Linked DNA regions of Canis lupus familiaris. The protein of the gene in region 1 binds, or shares a complex with, the protein of each later gene. Links are inferred from orthologs where the notes say so. Each region holds a gene or a part of one and is shown on either strand. Other genes may lie near its edges.

Region 1 (7,380 bases):
TGGAATATTCATGTCATTTCAATTCATTTTTAAGATTCCAAAACCAAAAAGGATTGGACACCCAAAGGGCAGTTTTTTAGCTTTCCAAAATCTCCAGGACATTTGCAGGGGATTTTGAGGCACAGGAAGCTATGTACCCAGCCAAGCAGATCCCTAGGAAAAGCTCCAGGAGGAAGTACCATACACATAGGGAGACTTCAAAGCTCTTTATTTCTTCCAGCATGGATGCAGCATTGCAAGAGCCCCATGAAATGGTATTTTCTATCCCAAGCGGCTGCCCTTGTCAGGCAAAATCTCTGATAAAACTCTCCAGGGAACCTGACAGTTCTACTTAAAAATAGCCAGGCAAGGAGTCTTACACCCACGAATCAGGACTTCTGTACGAAATGGACTGCTCAGATGATGGCAGGCCTTTCTGTGAGAATCCCTGCATTCCAGCACCCTGCCCCCCACACCCTGTGCCCCAGATTCTGAAGAGAAGAGGCATCCACATGTCCTCTGTATGAGAAAGCACCAGACTAAGTGCTTTACTGTGTTCAGTTGAATCACATGAAGTTGCCATTTTTCTTATTTTTCTCTCTTCAGCCTTGTGAGGTAGACATTATTTTCCCAGTTTCTGGCTGAGGAAACATGACTCAGAGAGGTTAAATCACTTCTGCAACATCCCATAGCTCACCAGTGCAACAGCAAGGGTTTGAATGTAGCACTGTTCTCCCCACCCCTACCACCATGGTGCTATACAAGAGGGGCTGCCGAAACCTGGCCTCTAGGAAATGGCCCATTGCCCTCAAATACTAACATGATCCTGGCCCAGGTTATGGAGGCAATCGAATATCCAACCTTGAGCTAAGTCAAAACTCCACCTGGAAGCATCTGCTTCCTTAGCTGGTCCCATTATCCTGCTTACTACCACACACCTTCTCCCAGAGAGGTGGCTCTCCTGCCTATGCTTATCTATTGTGGATCCAAGATAACACCTGCCTGTAAATGGAACAATCTGAGCAAGAGAGCCTGATTTTTGCCTCTGTGCCAAAGGGGCATAAAAGCATGCAGGGATTGATGAGTTTGAGGGGGAAGATTCTGACTTGAAAATTTTTAAAGGCCCAAAGAATGTATTCTATGCAATACTGAAATAAACATGTGTGGTCATCTTTTAAGTCTTAATTTTTTAAGAGATTGCCAAATAACCCACTATATAAAATTCCTAAAAACAATTTTCATTCAGCTTTCTTGCTTGAATTGGTTGGCCATCTGTTTCTAGGAGAAATTGAAAAGATAGAATGTCAGACATAGGCCATGAGTCAGAAGCTCTTTCAAAGTGCCCTTGAGCAGAACCTTTAACCTTTTTGGGCCTCATGCCCATGTCTGAAATGAGAAGAGTATTCAGGGTGTTTATTTTACTAACAAATATTTGTTGAGCATCTACTGTGAGCCAATCCCAACCCCGTTGGAAAGCTTCTAGAGCTTATCTGGGTATTACTTAAAAAATAATTCAAAACTGATTTGTCCTTATGAAATACCATGCACATGCTCTGGCCATTTCCCAGACTCTTCTACAGTCATACTTGCATATGAGTATGAAGATTACACATTGGCTATCTACTACAGCATTACTTGTAATGGCAAAACACACATACACACACAAACTGGTGACAGTTCAAATGTCAAGAATGCTATTAACTAACAGGAATGGAGAAAGTTTCTGACATATTAAAAAACCAAATTAAATATATATATTTATTAGATATATATAATATATATATGATCCCATTTATGTAAACAAAACAAAAAGACCTTTAAGTGGGTATATTTGTTTATAAATACACAGAAAAGGAGGCAAGTGATTGGAGCGGCCTTCAGTTTTTACTCTGTATACATCATGTTGTTGGAATATTTTACAATAAGATTATATGACTTTATTAATTTTGTAAATGCCTTATAAATTAACCAATAAGAAGGACACCCCACCACTACCACCACCAAAGAAAGAAAACAAACAGAACAAACTTAATTTAGGCTTTAGCCTCTGCTAAATCTTACACTGATGTTGTTTATCTCTGTGAATGAAGTTGAAGTCAGATGCTTATGGATCCTTACAACTCGAGATAACCCTGCAGACTCCAGGGAGGAAAAGGTTATAGGGAGAAAATAACACATTGCAAAGATGTTTACAGAAGTGGCCATTCCACTCTTGCAGACCCCTGGTGCTCCTTCTTTGTAAGTCTTCAAAGAGGGGAAAGTGAGAAAAAGAGGGGAGGTGTGGGCACATCCCCTGTCTGGAAGGTTCTTGCTGAGCCTGGTTCTGTAGAACGGAAGCTTTGGAAGGCGCCTCCATGAGGTGCCCAGCTCTGAGTCAGCGCATTGCTGAGCAGACCAGGTCCACCAAGAGGAAATGCCCAGTGACTAACCCCACCACTGCTTCTGGGCCTTACTGTAATCAAAAGGATGTTGGCTCAGGAGGGAGGGAGTAATGAAAACAGTCTGGAGACCTGGCCTTTCTGAAGACTGTGGGGAAGTTGGTGAAGCAACCGGCTCAGCGTTGGCAAACATGGAGGGCAGGAATGCCTCCTCCAGCGGAAAGAGCCCCATTGTCCTGTCGCCCTGACTCTTCCTTGTTTCTCACACAGAGGGGGCCACAGCCAGCGAATACAAAGCTCTGATGACTGAGCTCAAGATCTTGACCCACATTGGCCACCATCTGAATGTAGTCAACCTGCTAGGAGCCTGTACCAAGCAAGGAGGTAAATGAGAAGGAGGGCCTGCTCCCTCTCCCCATTCACATGCTAAGAGCAGAGTCTGACATACAGCTCCTTCTCCCCATTCCTCCTCACCTCCTGAAAAACAGCCTCTCGGTAGTTCCAGAGGAAACAGTTTGTCCATTTATGGAAAGGTGCTCCCATCCTAGAAATGCCTTCCCTGTACAGTTAATTGAAAGGCTCTAAATAGAAGGAATCCCTTTGAGACCTCCTTCCATGGGCTCCGGGTCATGTGGAGAGCATTTTTTCTCTCCGGATGGCTTTGAAGGAGGGTGGCCAGAGCTAAGGTAATGGTTAGAAGGTTGAGCATTCCTTGAAGCTTCACATAAAAGAAGAAGTTACTACTGGTAGAACCCCAGGAAGAGGTGATGTGAAGGACAACCAGAAGGGCCCTTCCCTTCACACAGCTTTTCCCCGCTGGGTCAAGCAGCCAGGACATGGCTATGGTCATGACTGAGGGCTCCAGCATGTTCCTGAATACTTTTCTATCTTCCCTCGTGGGGAGGTTAGCACTTGCGTATAGATGTGCGATCCCTGCCTAAGCCAGAAAGGAAGGTGCAAAAGACCTATGTGCACCAATGTTTTCCACAGTCAACAAAAGTAGTAGAGGGTAATCGGAAAGACTACCTGTTCAGAGTAGCAGGGGATACAGAAAGCGGGTAAGAGCTGGGAGGCCCCAACTAGCATCCTGGAGACCCAACCATAGGCTGCCTGCTTTCCCATTACCCTTGAAAATTGACAAATGACAAGTCATCTGTTTGGGGTGCAGGGCCTCTGATGGTGATCGTTGAATATTGCAAATACGGAAATCTGTCCAACTACCTCAAGAGCAAACGAGACTTATTCTTTCTCAACAAGGTAAGGAACTTAAGGGTTGGAGGTTTAGGCTACATCAGCATAAAGTAAGAGAAACCTGTATTTTTTCATTAATGACCAAGCCTAAAACCCAATCTCTGCTTTTTCCTTCCATGCCAATACAGCACACATTTTGTGGGCAGCACAGAGAATATGTAATCCCAGCATATGCAGCAAAACTTAGAGGTTAAAATTTAGGAGCCATCTACCTAACTACCTGTTCAAGCATCTTGATCATTTTCTTTCTTTCTTTCTCTCCATACATACGCAGACACCGACACAAATCATGGGGTTACTTGTTTCTTTAAAGATGATAGCAAATATAATTGTCCCCATTTATTAGAGAAATTAATGCCTCAATCAACTGAGTGACTTAGCAGTGAACACAAAGGCAGTGTTGGGCCAGAGAAATTATTTTCTCCTCTTGCTATGCCCTTTATTCTGCTTTCCCCAGACCCTTGCCCCCACAGTCAGCCCTGCACACAAACATGGAACCAGCCTTACCCACTAAAATAAAGCTACATAACAAAAGGAACATGTAGGTTTAAGTCCTGAAGGCAAACAAAATCTAAAAGAGATTATTGAATGGAGGAGAAGGTTTGATAAAACTTTGCCAGTGTGACTCATCCCACCAGTATTGTATCCTTTCCTGGGCTGGAGCAGCTTAGGGAGGAATGACTTGACATTATTAACTGCTAGTCAGCAGTGCTGGTGATGAGTCTACAGTGTGGTGATGAAACACACAGACTCCAGAACCAGGCATCCTGGGTTTAAATCCTGTTTCTCTCACTCAAAATCTGGGACCTTGGGCAAGCTACTCTACCTCTCAGTCTCAGGCCCCTCTTTTATTAAATGGAGGGAATAACAGAACCGAACTCATGGCATTGTTGAGAGAATCACGTTCTTCATTGAATTAAGTACTCTATAAATGTTAACTGTCGTTATTGTTACTGAGATAGAAAGATTGGGAGAGTCCAACTTAATGCCACCAATCTATACGACCTATATGATGGACAAAGTGCTGCACATCCAAGAATTCTGCCCAACTGTCACATGGACAGCAGTATTCACGGGACAAACAAATAAGAACCACTGGACAGCTGGCCAATTCTCTCATCCCTCCAACTTTGACCCAACCAAAGACACAGGTGGTCTATCAGACTTAGAAACATATAGGCAAGAACATATTGTCTCCAATTATAAACCATGCCCTCCAGTAGTTAAAATCTTGAAGCTGAAGGGGCACCTCACTTGGCTCAGTTGGTAGAGCATATGACTCAATCTTGGGGTCCTGAGTTCAAGCCCCATGTTGGGAGATAGAGATTTTTTAAAATTGATCTGGAAAGGACCTTTGTGATCAGCTAGTTCACTCTCTTACATTATAGATGTGCCCAGCAAAGTCAAGTGATTGACTTACACTTACACTTTTAGAGGTGAAGTCTGGGGGAAAAGAGCCCAGGTCTCTTGACAACCCTTGCAAAGCCTTCCTGTACACGAGACTGGATAAGGAAGGTGGGGTGGGGACGGCAGAGAGGGAGACACCACAAGAAAAGGGGGAAAGTGGTGGCTTGGGTGGAGAGCGGTGCAAAGTCCCTTCAGTCCTGAAATCCTGGACTGCTTCAAGAAGAACTAAGGCAGCAGCCTACCCCAGGGACCTGGGCAGGATGGAACGTTTGGGTTCGTGCGTCCTTTGTTTAGAAGGCTCTGCTTCCTCCCCTGGCTATATTTAATGATTCGCCTCCCTGTTGGTGGAGCTCCGTGTTTTCATGGAAAACACATGGCTGTATTTCATATTTGGAACCTAAAGGAATATAAAGAGAAAGTGAAGGAAAAACCAAGAGTCTAAATAGAAATGGGATATTTCATTTTCCAAATAAATGCACCAGGCTCTTTAAATACTATTTGTAATAAATTCACCGCGTACTGCTAGAGTCCCGAAAGTTCCGTACATCCAACCTTTAATATAAACAGTGGTGCTTACCAATAAGCAAAGCTGAATATAGAATAGATTGGGAGTCAAGGAGTGGGTGAGGGAGCCTGAGTTCTGGTCCCTGCAGACAGCCGTATCCGGGCTGTGACCACTGGGAAGATGAATACGAAGGCTGCTCATCACATGACGAGATGAGCACTAGGTGTTATACTATATATTAGCAAATTGAATTTAAATAAAGTATTTAAAAATTTACAAAAATAAATAAATAAATAAAAAGAAAGGCTGCCCAGAGAGTGGAGAGCATTGTCATGGGCTGACCCATGAGCGGACCTATTGAGCACTCTTCTCCCTACACCCCTGCCAGTGCCATTTCCCTGCTTCGTTGTGTCCTGAGAAGGGGCCTAGTGAAAAATCCAATTCCAGTAACCCCCACCCCCCGCCCCAGCAGAACCAACCTTAACTGCCTCTGGGAGACACAGCAACAAAGAATTATAGTTTATTTATTTTCGGGTAAGTCACCTGCGGTGGCAGCAGGGATCTATACTGAGGCCTGCCCCCCCCTCCCCCATCCTCCCTCAGCAGGGCTTCTGCAGGTTTCTTGTCAGGAGGCAGGAGCCTGGAACCCCCTCCCCCCGCCCCCCACGCTGAGTTTGCTGGCTGTCCCTCCTCTGTCTTCTGCTTACTCCCAACGCGCCCTCTAGTGGAGGGATCTCTCCTACTTCGTGACATTTCTAGAAAAAGCCAAGCAAGAATGAATCCTAGCACCTCTGCTCTGTGCAGGTGCAGAAAGGGACACCACTGAGCCCTAGTCCCTCTGAGCCCCTTCCTCAGTAGTGCCAGCTAGCATTACTGAGCGAGGTGTATGCTCCACCAGTACATAGTCACGAAGCCACCGGGAGTGCCAAGTTTGTAGTGTCAACAGTTATTAGGTAAATTGCCAAAGATGATAAAAATCTTTCCGGTTCCACATGAACACCCAGAACCAACACCTCCTTTCCTAGGAGTCCAAACATAATAAGATGGAGCTTTTCCAGTGAGGAAAGTGAGACCCAAAAAAGGTCATTTGCCCGATCTTACATAGTTAATGGAAGAGCCAGATTACACACCAAGGCTTGGATGCCCAGTCCAGGATAAAAGGTCTTTTCTACCCTTTTTAGGATCAAACAGTGTCTTTGTTTTGAATGGAGGGGAGACAAAGAAATGTCCGTGTTCCCTTCTTCCCCAGAGAAACCAGAGAAATTGATAAGTATAACCTTCTCTCATTACTCAGAGGGATTATGCCATGTGAAGCCCCAAGTCCACTAGGGATTTGTTTCTACTATTCGGATTATCTTTCACAAGATGGTGTGTGGTATGGAAAAAGTGGTTAAGGGCATGGACTGGAGTTGGCCAAGCCTGAGTTCAAGCTTTGCCATTTACTACTTGCATGGGGCTTTTTACTGCTTGCCTCCTCTGAACCTATTTCTTCATGGAGAAGCAAGAAGTACTTCATAAAGTTGTTACAGAGATTAAATGTGAAAATGTACTTAAGATTCTTCATACAGTGGCTGGCACAGAGTAAGCGCTCAGTGAATACCAGCGACTATTAATATTTCTTTATTCTGCCTAAGATGCTATCTGGAAACCCCCTCAAAAGCAGAACAGACTCCAGAACCCCAGGGAAGAGCCAGGCACCTGAGCGCCATAGGGCCCTCGCGCTTACTCTCCGGTTTGTGCCACGAACTCTCCCAACTCAGGCGACTGCCAGCTCGAGGGATTAGTTTCCTCATTGCTATTCTGAAAGTCTCTTTCCTCTGTGTCCTTCTTGGTCTGTTCAAAGGATGCAGCATTACACAT
Region 2 (7,919 bases), on another chromosome or scaffold:
TACCAGGCCGGGCCACGCCGCCCGCCCTCATTGGACTGCGCAAAACCCGCTGCCACCCGCCCGCTGCGGCGGCCTTGCCCCCAGCCCCGCCCCCGCGCCAAGTGACGGCGCGCTACTTCCGGCGGCGCGGTCGTCGGTGAAGTTAGGTGAAAGTGACTTCCTAAAGAGCCTCCGGCACTTCCGGTCGAGGTGAGGGTAAGGTCAGGCGGACGCAGGCTCCCGGAAGGGGTCTGGGGACGCCATTTTATTCCGTCCCCTGGCTACCACAGCGCTCCCGCTTGCCCCCGGGTTGGCTTTGAACGTGGGGTCTGCCGTGCGTTGACTGGCAGCGTGACCTCGAGCGAGCGGCCGGGCCTGGTAGGATCTGGAGTCCCTGTGCTGGCAGGGCCGTGGAGGGACGGACTGCTGCCACCATGTGCTCCGGCGGGCTCTGGCCCACAGCTAACGCTCTGCCTTCGGCCTGGCCAACGTCCGGGCCCGCCTCGACCCGACGCACGCGGACCACGGAGCCATGGCGGTGGTGCTGTGGCCGGGCCCTTCCCCACCCCGACAGCCGTGCTCAGGTGCCCCGACATCTCTCCACTGAAGGAATGAACCTGTAGTCGCGAGGCGACCAAACCTAAGCAGTGTTAGAGACCCCAGACTTGAGGGCACATCCCCGGTCCCTCAGCCTTGCTGGGCCTGGGAAAGGAAGATAATCAGCAGCGCTGACCGGAGAATTGAGGACTAAGCAAGGGGCGCATATGGAGCGCTGTGCTTGTCCAGCACCAAGTGGGCAGGGGAAGTGGCAGCTCTAGAGTCCCCAGCCCTCATCTGTCTCACTTTGGTCGCGCTACAGCATTTCCAGTGACGGCATAGCTGAGAATAGTGGTTTGAGAAGCAGTGACCACTATCAGGAATTGTCTTCTGGTCTAACCCCACTCCTGCCTTGGGTCCAGCAAGATCCCGGCCATGCCCTCCAATCTCACACCTCAGAGAAGGCTTCCATTAGGGTAGCCACTCCGGGCCAACCTGTAACCCTGAATGTCCTGTCTCAGCAAGGCCAACCGCTGGTAGCCGAGGTTGGCCTTTGGTCGGCCCCTCACAGCTCCACCCCAGGGACACTGGAAGCTGCAGGCGCTCGGCTTCGGCTGGGTCAGACAAAAGTCAGGACAGTCCCAAGCAGGAGCTGCTGAGGGGAGCCCAAGGCAAAGGGGCCGAGAAAGGTGGAGAAAAACGTGTGGTTGGAGGTGAGGAGGCCTATCTCCCAAGGCAAGCCCACCAGCCACAGCCCTTTTGTACTTCCCTTCCAGGGATGTGGGGACAGGGCAGGTGTGTGGCTTTAGAGTTAAGCTATATGAAGTAGCTTACATGCAGAGTGCTGCCCGGCAGAGAAGAGGGGTTTTTCTATCAAGTGAAGACATACTCGGACTTTCCTGAAGTCCCAAGGCCGGGGCCATAGCAATCATCCGTTCCCTCCATGTGCCCATGTGGAAGGTGAAGCTCAGAGAGGGGCCAGTGACAACCAAGATGATTCAGCAGATCCGGATCCCACCTTGAGCTCACTGGCCAGAGCAGGCCATCTCCTTCCAGAAAGGAGCCTTTGTGATGGCAAGGGGCAGAGCACCCCCCCCCCCCCCGCCCCCAAGGGCCTAGATGTGACAGCAGGACCATGAAGAATACACAACTCTGGCTCAGTCTTGTGACCTGCTGGGGGACCTTGGGCCTCATTTCCTCCATCTGCACAATGAGGGAGTAAAACCGGCTCTAAGTCTGGGAGGCAGTGTGATGCAGAATGCCTGGATCACCCAGCCTGGACAGTGACAAACAGTGACACAGGCAGGGACAGCTCCTTCCATCTCTCTTTATCAGGGTTGGGGGTCACAGTTCTCACACTGAAGCCCAATTCCCAGTATTTGCAGAGGATCAGTGTCTTAGTGAGGGGACAGAGGAGCCAGCTGTAAGATCTCACTTGCACATGGTGGTTGAACACTGAGACGGTACCCCTTCTTTTCAGAGTTAGTCTGCGACCCCTGGTGCCACCTACACATGTTCCCAGCCAGCTGCCCACCCTGTCAGTTGGCAGCCTTGGAGAGACCGGGACAGCTAGAAAGTCCTCCGAGAGGCCCAGGTCCTGGAGCAGCTTCTGCCCATGCCGAGGTCTTGGGACTAGGCTATTCTCAACATGTTGCCCCCAGTACCCCCTCTGTGGGGGTGGCTTGTGAGGCTAGTGGCCCTGCTGAGTCTGAAAAGCAACGTGTCACCTTCGCAGCTTCCGGCACCTGAGGAAGGGAAGGAAGAGATCTGTTCATGCAGGCATAGTTCAGCCCCTACTCCTGGCAATTCACCCCTTTGTTACCTTCTATGAACCCCCATTCTCTCCTAACGCACCTGGCGAGCGCCAGCTGGCCTGGCCCACATAACGCCACTTCGGGGCCTCACTGTGGAAGGGAGGAGTGGTGAGAAGCACCTCAGAGAAGGTGGACAAGGATTCCACTGTGTCCCCTGGCCTCTCACAGAGCCCACAAGGTGGGACAAATGTCTCCTACAGGGGCTTTTAGGAAGGCCCAGAGCTTCCAAAATTGGAGAGCCATGGCTCTCATCTTTACCACAGGCAGATGTTCCCATCAGAGCATCTGTGACCTCTTGGAGACCATTTCGGGTGCCCCTGACCTCAGCCCTTGACCTCCTCTGCTGGCATCGCATATCTCGTGTCTGACTCACATGAGAATGTTAACTTTGTTTACACTGATCCCAGTGCCAGTGGAAGCTTGGCAAATATTTGTTCAACACATTCAGCAGCTTCCCCTTCCCTGGCAGGCTCATCTCTGGACCCGCTCCAGAGGCCCTGATGCCTTCCCCAGCAAATGCTGCCCTCAGCTCCTCACCTGCAGGTGTCTGGGTTGAGCTCTAGGCCCCGCCCTTGGCAACGGAGGAAGCTGCGGCGTTGGCAGCGGCAGCGGCAGGTCCTGGGGTCAGGGCGCTGGCGGCGCTGGGTGCAGCGTGGGCAGAGGGGCCTGGGGCTGGAGTGGGATGGGTGATGTCAGCTGGGGAGGGTGCTCCGGGGGCAGAGTCCCAGCCCGGAATGGAGCGGGGCTGGGGGCGGTGGTGGGGAGTGGAAGCCCTAGGAGGAGAAGCAACATGTCTGGGGTGGGAAAGAAAAGCCTTCCCAGGAGCTGGGGTTGGGTCAGAGCACACAGACTCGGGGAGCAGAGGAAAAGAGAGGTAGACTCGGTGGGAGGAGAAAGGGGTTGGGACTGCACCCCCCTGCCCCGTCCACAGGTTACATCCTGGCTGCTGGGCCTGGGTTCCAACCCCATCTCAGTAAGAGCCCAAGAGACTCACCTGTCTGGCTTCAGAGCACTCTCTCTCTTTTTTGGTCTGAAAAGTAAGAGGGAGGGACAGAAACGAGGAAGAGGATCAGAAAAGCCGAGCATCCTACTCTCTTAGCCCAGATCCCAGGCCTACCCCAAGTTCGAGTCTTGGAGATCTGGTCCCCACCGTGGTGTACCACTATGCCCGGCACCCCCCGAGCCTGGTCTCTGTGAGCTCAGAAGTGGGGCCTGGCTGGCACCTGCATTCACACTGGCTGTGTTCTTCCAGGGACATCTCGCCCAGCTGACTGCTTGGGTAACGAATCATGAGGATCTGTATTCCAGAGACGGAGAAGAGACAGTGTAAGAGACAATGAGAGAGAGAGAAAAGGAATGCTCCACAGGCTGGAGGGAGAACAGCTTGCCCACCAGCCAAGGTTCTGGCCATTGCCCCCACTCCCCCACCCCCACCACCCCAGAGCACTGGCATCCACCCCAGCTGGGCACACTCCCTCTGTCCTAGTACCTGCATTCGGACTTGGTGCTGCCCAGTGGGCACACACTCCAGGCCATCGTCAGGGCAGCAGCCACCGCAGCGTTGCACTGTCACGCAGCTGGGCACCAGTTGCTTGGCCACCGTGCCCATGAGCTCCACAGTCAGAGGCACTACCACCTCCCGTGGCTGGCAGGTGGCACGGGCATATACATCTATCCATGACACCACTGGGGGTAGATGCATAAGGGTTAAGTCCTCGCTGGGTTTACTGCAGCTGCTCCCCAGTTGCCCTGTCCCCTGTACCCCACAGCTGTTCTCCCTAATTCCTGTGTCACAGCCACCCTTCACTGGCCCTTTCTGCCCTCACAAGCTGCCTTCCCCTGGCCAGGAACCCAGGAACCCCACTGCCTCAACTTCCTCTTCTGTGAAATGGGCAGAATAAGAGTTTGCATCTTGGAGAGTGAATAGTCACTCATTAGACAGGCTAACCTCCTCAGGGCTGGTTAGGGTGGTTATTGTTACTATTACCTTTCTTCTGGTGGCTGAGGGCATCAGGCTGGGACACAGGGCCCTGTAGGAGAGAAGGGACCTGGACCCAAGGTGCACTCAAGGAAGGGCTAGCCCTGTCGCTGTCCCCAGGGCTCTGCCCTGGCCATCAAAGGGCTTCAACTCCTCTATGGCATTTTTCCAGATTGCTCTGCTCCTGGGGTCACTCTAGCTTTACCTGGCCTCTCCTGGCCACCTGAGACCTGCCCTGGCCACGGTGGTGGTGGTGGCGGCGCAGCAACGTCCAGTCTCCAAGCCTGGGGGCCCCCGGGGCACAGTGGGCGCCGAGCCAAGTCCTGCGGGCACCGGGCGGCTCCACCCCCCCACCCCACCCCCGTCCGAGCCCAGGGGACGGGGTGGGGCAGGGGAGTGGCCCAGGGCTGGGCTGGCGGGCCGGCGGGGAGGGACTCCTCCCGGGGGATGCCCCGGCCGGATCCTCGCCACGCCCCGGCCCGCAGCCCGACCCCGCGGGTCCCCGCGGCAGAGGCCGCGCCGCATCTCCCCACTTCCGCCAACCTTGAGAGAGGGCAAGGCGGGCGGCCCGGCGGGATGTCGGGGACGCACGTACCTGGGCGGGGGCCAGCTGCAGGAGCGCGGCGAGCAGCAGGCTGCGGAGCAGGGGGCCCATGGTGCCCGCGGGGGCCGCGCGCCGGGGGCGCCCGCATCGCCCTAGCCCGGGGGCGCGGGGGGCGGCGGCAGCCAGAGCCCCATGGCGCGGGCCCGGGCGCGGCGGGCGGGGGCCGGGGGCGGGGGGCGGCTCCTCCGCGGCCCCCTCCCGAGCCCTGAGCGCAGGCAGCGCAGCGCAGCGCAGCGGCGGCGGCCGGAGGAGCCGGGCGGGAAGGCGGCCGGTGGCGGCAGGCGACGGCGGCGGGGACGGCGGGGACGGCGGGGGCGGCGGGGGGCCGGGCCCGGGCTGGCGGGCGGGCGGCTCATGTGACCCAGACACGCGCTCCCCACCGGGCCGCGGGGCAGGGGCGGGGCGGGGGAGGGGGGGCGAGGCCGCCGCCGGGGCCCGCCCCCTCCACACACCCCCCTCCCGCCGCAGCAGGGGAAAGGGGACGCACCGCCCAGGGGGCCGGGCTCCCGGGTCGCTGCCGCCGGGACGGCGAGGGCGGGGTGCCGTTCCCCGGTGAGGCCCGGGACGGGGGCCGCAGGGCGTGAAGCAAGGAGCCGGACACGAGCTCTGAGAATCACTTTATTGCACGCGTTTTGGGGAGTGGGAAGTCCCATGGGGTAGCAAGGCCCCATCCCAGCGAGCTGCTCACGGGCGGGTGCCTGTGCCCGGAGACACGATCCCTGGGCCTCCAGGTGGTGGCTGCAGCCGCTGCCTCTGCAGTTGCTCCTGGAGCTTGGCTCTGTTGGCCCTGCAGGAGAGAGCACCCGGGTGGTCAGGGCAGAGGATCCCAGAGGGTGGTGCCAGGACAGTGAAGGGAGAGCAGGGACAGACCTGGCCCGGGCCCGTGTGTCATTGTAGATGGCTGTGATTATCCGATCCTTTTCATCCATGAAGCTCCGGTGCATCTGCTCCAGCTTCCTGCAAGGGGGTTACAATTAACCCCAATCCCTGCTGTCCCCCAAATCCAACCCCCACCATCCTGGCAACTCTAGGGTCTCACAGCTTTACATCTGTGAGGACCTCTGCCTAACTGCCTGTGCTAGGTGGGCAGAGGGGCATGGAAGGGCAGGGGCTTATCCAGGGTCCATGGGTGACCCAGGTCTCTGTCTTGTTGAAGGTGGTGATAGCAGCTCTGAACATCAGAATGTTCCTCGCAGGAGACTAGAAAGGGTATACATCTAATGCATCACGGAGCTAGGCAGGCTGCTAGCAGTGGGCACCAGCCTTTAGATATCTTTGTGGTAGAACCCTGGTATTCATGGCATGCATAAAAGGATGGCGGGGAGACAGCCGATTGCCAAACAACTGAGGGTAGTTGCCGGTGAGGCCCAGTTACAACATATTTCCTTGTGCAGGATCTTGGTGGCTCCAGCACATCCTATCAGCAGCACCAAAGATTTACATTCAAATGACAAAAAAAAAAAAAAAAAAAAAAACCCTGAAAATGACATTAGCCCTTAGTTAGTGTAGAGATGTCTTTGCCAAGTAAGGAGAGGTTCAGGAGCTACTTCATGCAATTCTTAGCTTGAGAGACACAAAAGCGCAAGCTGCAGGGGTGGTGTGGATGTATGGCTGACCACACTGGGCTCCACCCACCCTCCACCCTCTGCCCATCACCCCAGGCGGAAGGCAGGGATGTACCTGAAGGCAACATAGTGCAGGCCCATGCCTGCCAACATGATCAGGAGGCAGTATCCCAGCACCCGCTGGTTGTGTCTGTGCTGCTGCTGCCTTGACTCTGGTCCCTGAGGCCTCACACCATGAAACTGGGCCCAGTATTGTGCATTGGGGGGTGCCCAGGAGCTGCTGAGAGGGAGAAGAAAGGAAGTATGGGAATGAGGTGCCCCAGGAGACTTGGGGAATGGGGCAAGCCAGGGGCAGGACTACTGCACCTGTGCGCTTGATGAGCAGCCCTGGGATGGACTGTGGTTCCTGGAGACTTTGGAGGAGTTGTGGAGCTGAGCTGGTGATCATAGCTGCGGCGGCTGTGCTCATGGCTGAGCACTTGGTATGCTTCACTCAGCTCCACAAAGCGGCTGTGCAGGGCTGGGTTCCCAGGGTCCCGATCAGGGTGCAGCTGGGGTGGGGCAGGACTCTCTTCAGCTCTTTTTCCATGCCCCATCACAGAACCCATCCCAATAATGTCCACCCACAAAGGTTCAAATCATCTCTGGAGGCCCTGCCTGGAGAGGAACTCTCACTCTTAGGGCTGCCCACCCCTCTAGAAGGCCAGAGTCAGGGAGCACAGACTCCTCCCCTTCCCCTTGTTCAAGGCCTTCCCACCTGCTGCCTGGCTCTCACTATATGCCCTGGCTTTCTCAAGAGCAGGCAGATCAGAACCAAGCCCAGCCCATCACATAGAACCCCTGGCTCCCGTCCCCAGCCTTTCCTCCCAGCTGGCCAGACCACTGCTCTTGGGGCACCTGCCATTCTCTATACATGCTAAGGGAATGTGGCACCATCCAGAGTGAGCCCCTCGGCTCCACTCCTGGCAATCTGAAGTGTACCCTATCTGCTCAGCCTTATCCTCCCTCCTCCCCGCCTAGGACCACTGGTACCTCTTTGGACTTGGAGAAGAAAGCTCGTTTAACTTCTTCAGTGCTGGCACCAGGATGCACCCCTAACAGTTCATAGTAGTTCCTGGGGCCAGACCTGTGGAAATAGGCCAGAAACTGCAAGGGCTGTGGAAACACAGAGGCTCTTCCTCCCCTCCCCCTCCCAGCACCTCTGGGCCACAGTCCTCAACTCAGAAACTGGGAGGAAGATAAAAAAAGAGAGAGAGAGAGAAAAAGAAACCAGGAGGTGAGGAAGCTGAGGCTGGTGCCAAGGGAGATCCATCTCCAAATCATCCCTCCCCTTTTGAGTATTTCAAGTATGGGCAGATCAGAACATTTCCATGTGTAGCCCTCAGACCCCTTTAAACAGAAACACCCAGGAAGCTTGTTTAAAAACATTCCTGGGACGCCTG

What was found.
Region 2: the proteins of FLT1 (region 1) and VEGFB are in contact, whole or in part, in a crystal structure (PDB 2XAC), measured with the Homo sapiens proteins. The link is inferred for Canis lupus familiaris from reciprocal best matches to the Homo sapiens genes FLT1 and VEGFB. Residues at the interface, in NP_002010.2 of Homo sapiens: Tyr139, Glu141, Pro143, Phe172, Pro173, Tyr199, Ile202, Gly203, Leu204, Asn219, Leu221, Arg224, Thr226; in NP_003368.1 of Homo sapiens: Ser37, Trp38, Ile39, Tyr42, Thr43, Thr46, Cys47, Gln48, Pro83, Asp84, Asp85, Gly86, Leu87, Cys124, Arg125, Pro126.

What each region holds. Positions count from the first base shown.
Region 1 is NC_049246.1:11,438,600-11,445,979, forward strand, and holds part of FLT1 (vascular endothelial growth factor receptor 1), read left to right. Parts: intron 1-2,627; coding exon 2,628-2,741; intron 2,742-3,525; coding exon 3,526-3,614; intron 3,615-7,363; coding exon 7,364-7,380. UniProt on the Homo sapiens protein: Tyrosine-protein kinase that acts as a cell-surface receptor for VEGFA, VEGFB and PGF, and plays an essential role in the development of embryonic vasculature, the regulation of angiogenesis, cell survival, cell migration, macrophage function, chemotaxis, and cancer cell invasion.
Region 2 is NC_049239.1:53,326,999-53,334,917, forward strand, and holds VEGFB (vascular endothelial growth factor B), read right to left. Parts: upstream 5,021-7,919; 5' UTR 4,964-5,020; coding exon 4,904-4,963; intron 4,361-4,903; coding exon 4,318-4,360; intron 4,017-4,317; coding exon 3,820-4,016; intron 3,628-3,819; coding exon 3,554-3,627; intron 3,361-3,553; coding exon 3,325-3,360; intron 3,104-3,324; coding exon 2,890-3,103; coding exon of another isoform or gene 2,868-2,889; intron 2,262-2,867; coding exon of another isoform or gene 2,240-2,261; 3' UTR 1,824-2,239; downstream 1-1,823. Other genes in the region: DNAJC4 (dnaJ homolog subfamily C member 4), read right to left, coding at 5,597-5,699, 5,783-5,869, 6,593-6,754, 6,844-7,028, 7,510-7,603. UniProt on the Homo sapiens protein: Growth factor for endothelial cells. VEGF-B167 binds heparin and neuropilin-1 whereas the binding to neuropilin-1 of VEGF-B186 is regulated by proteolysis.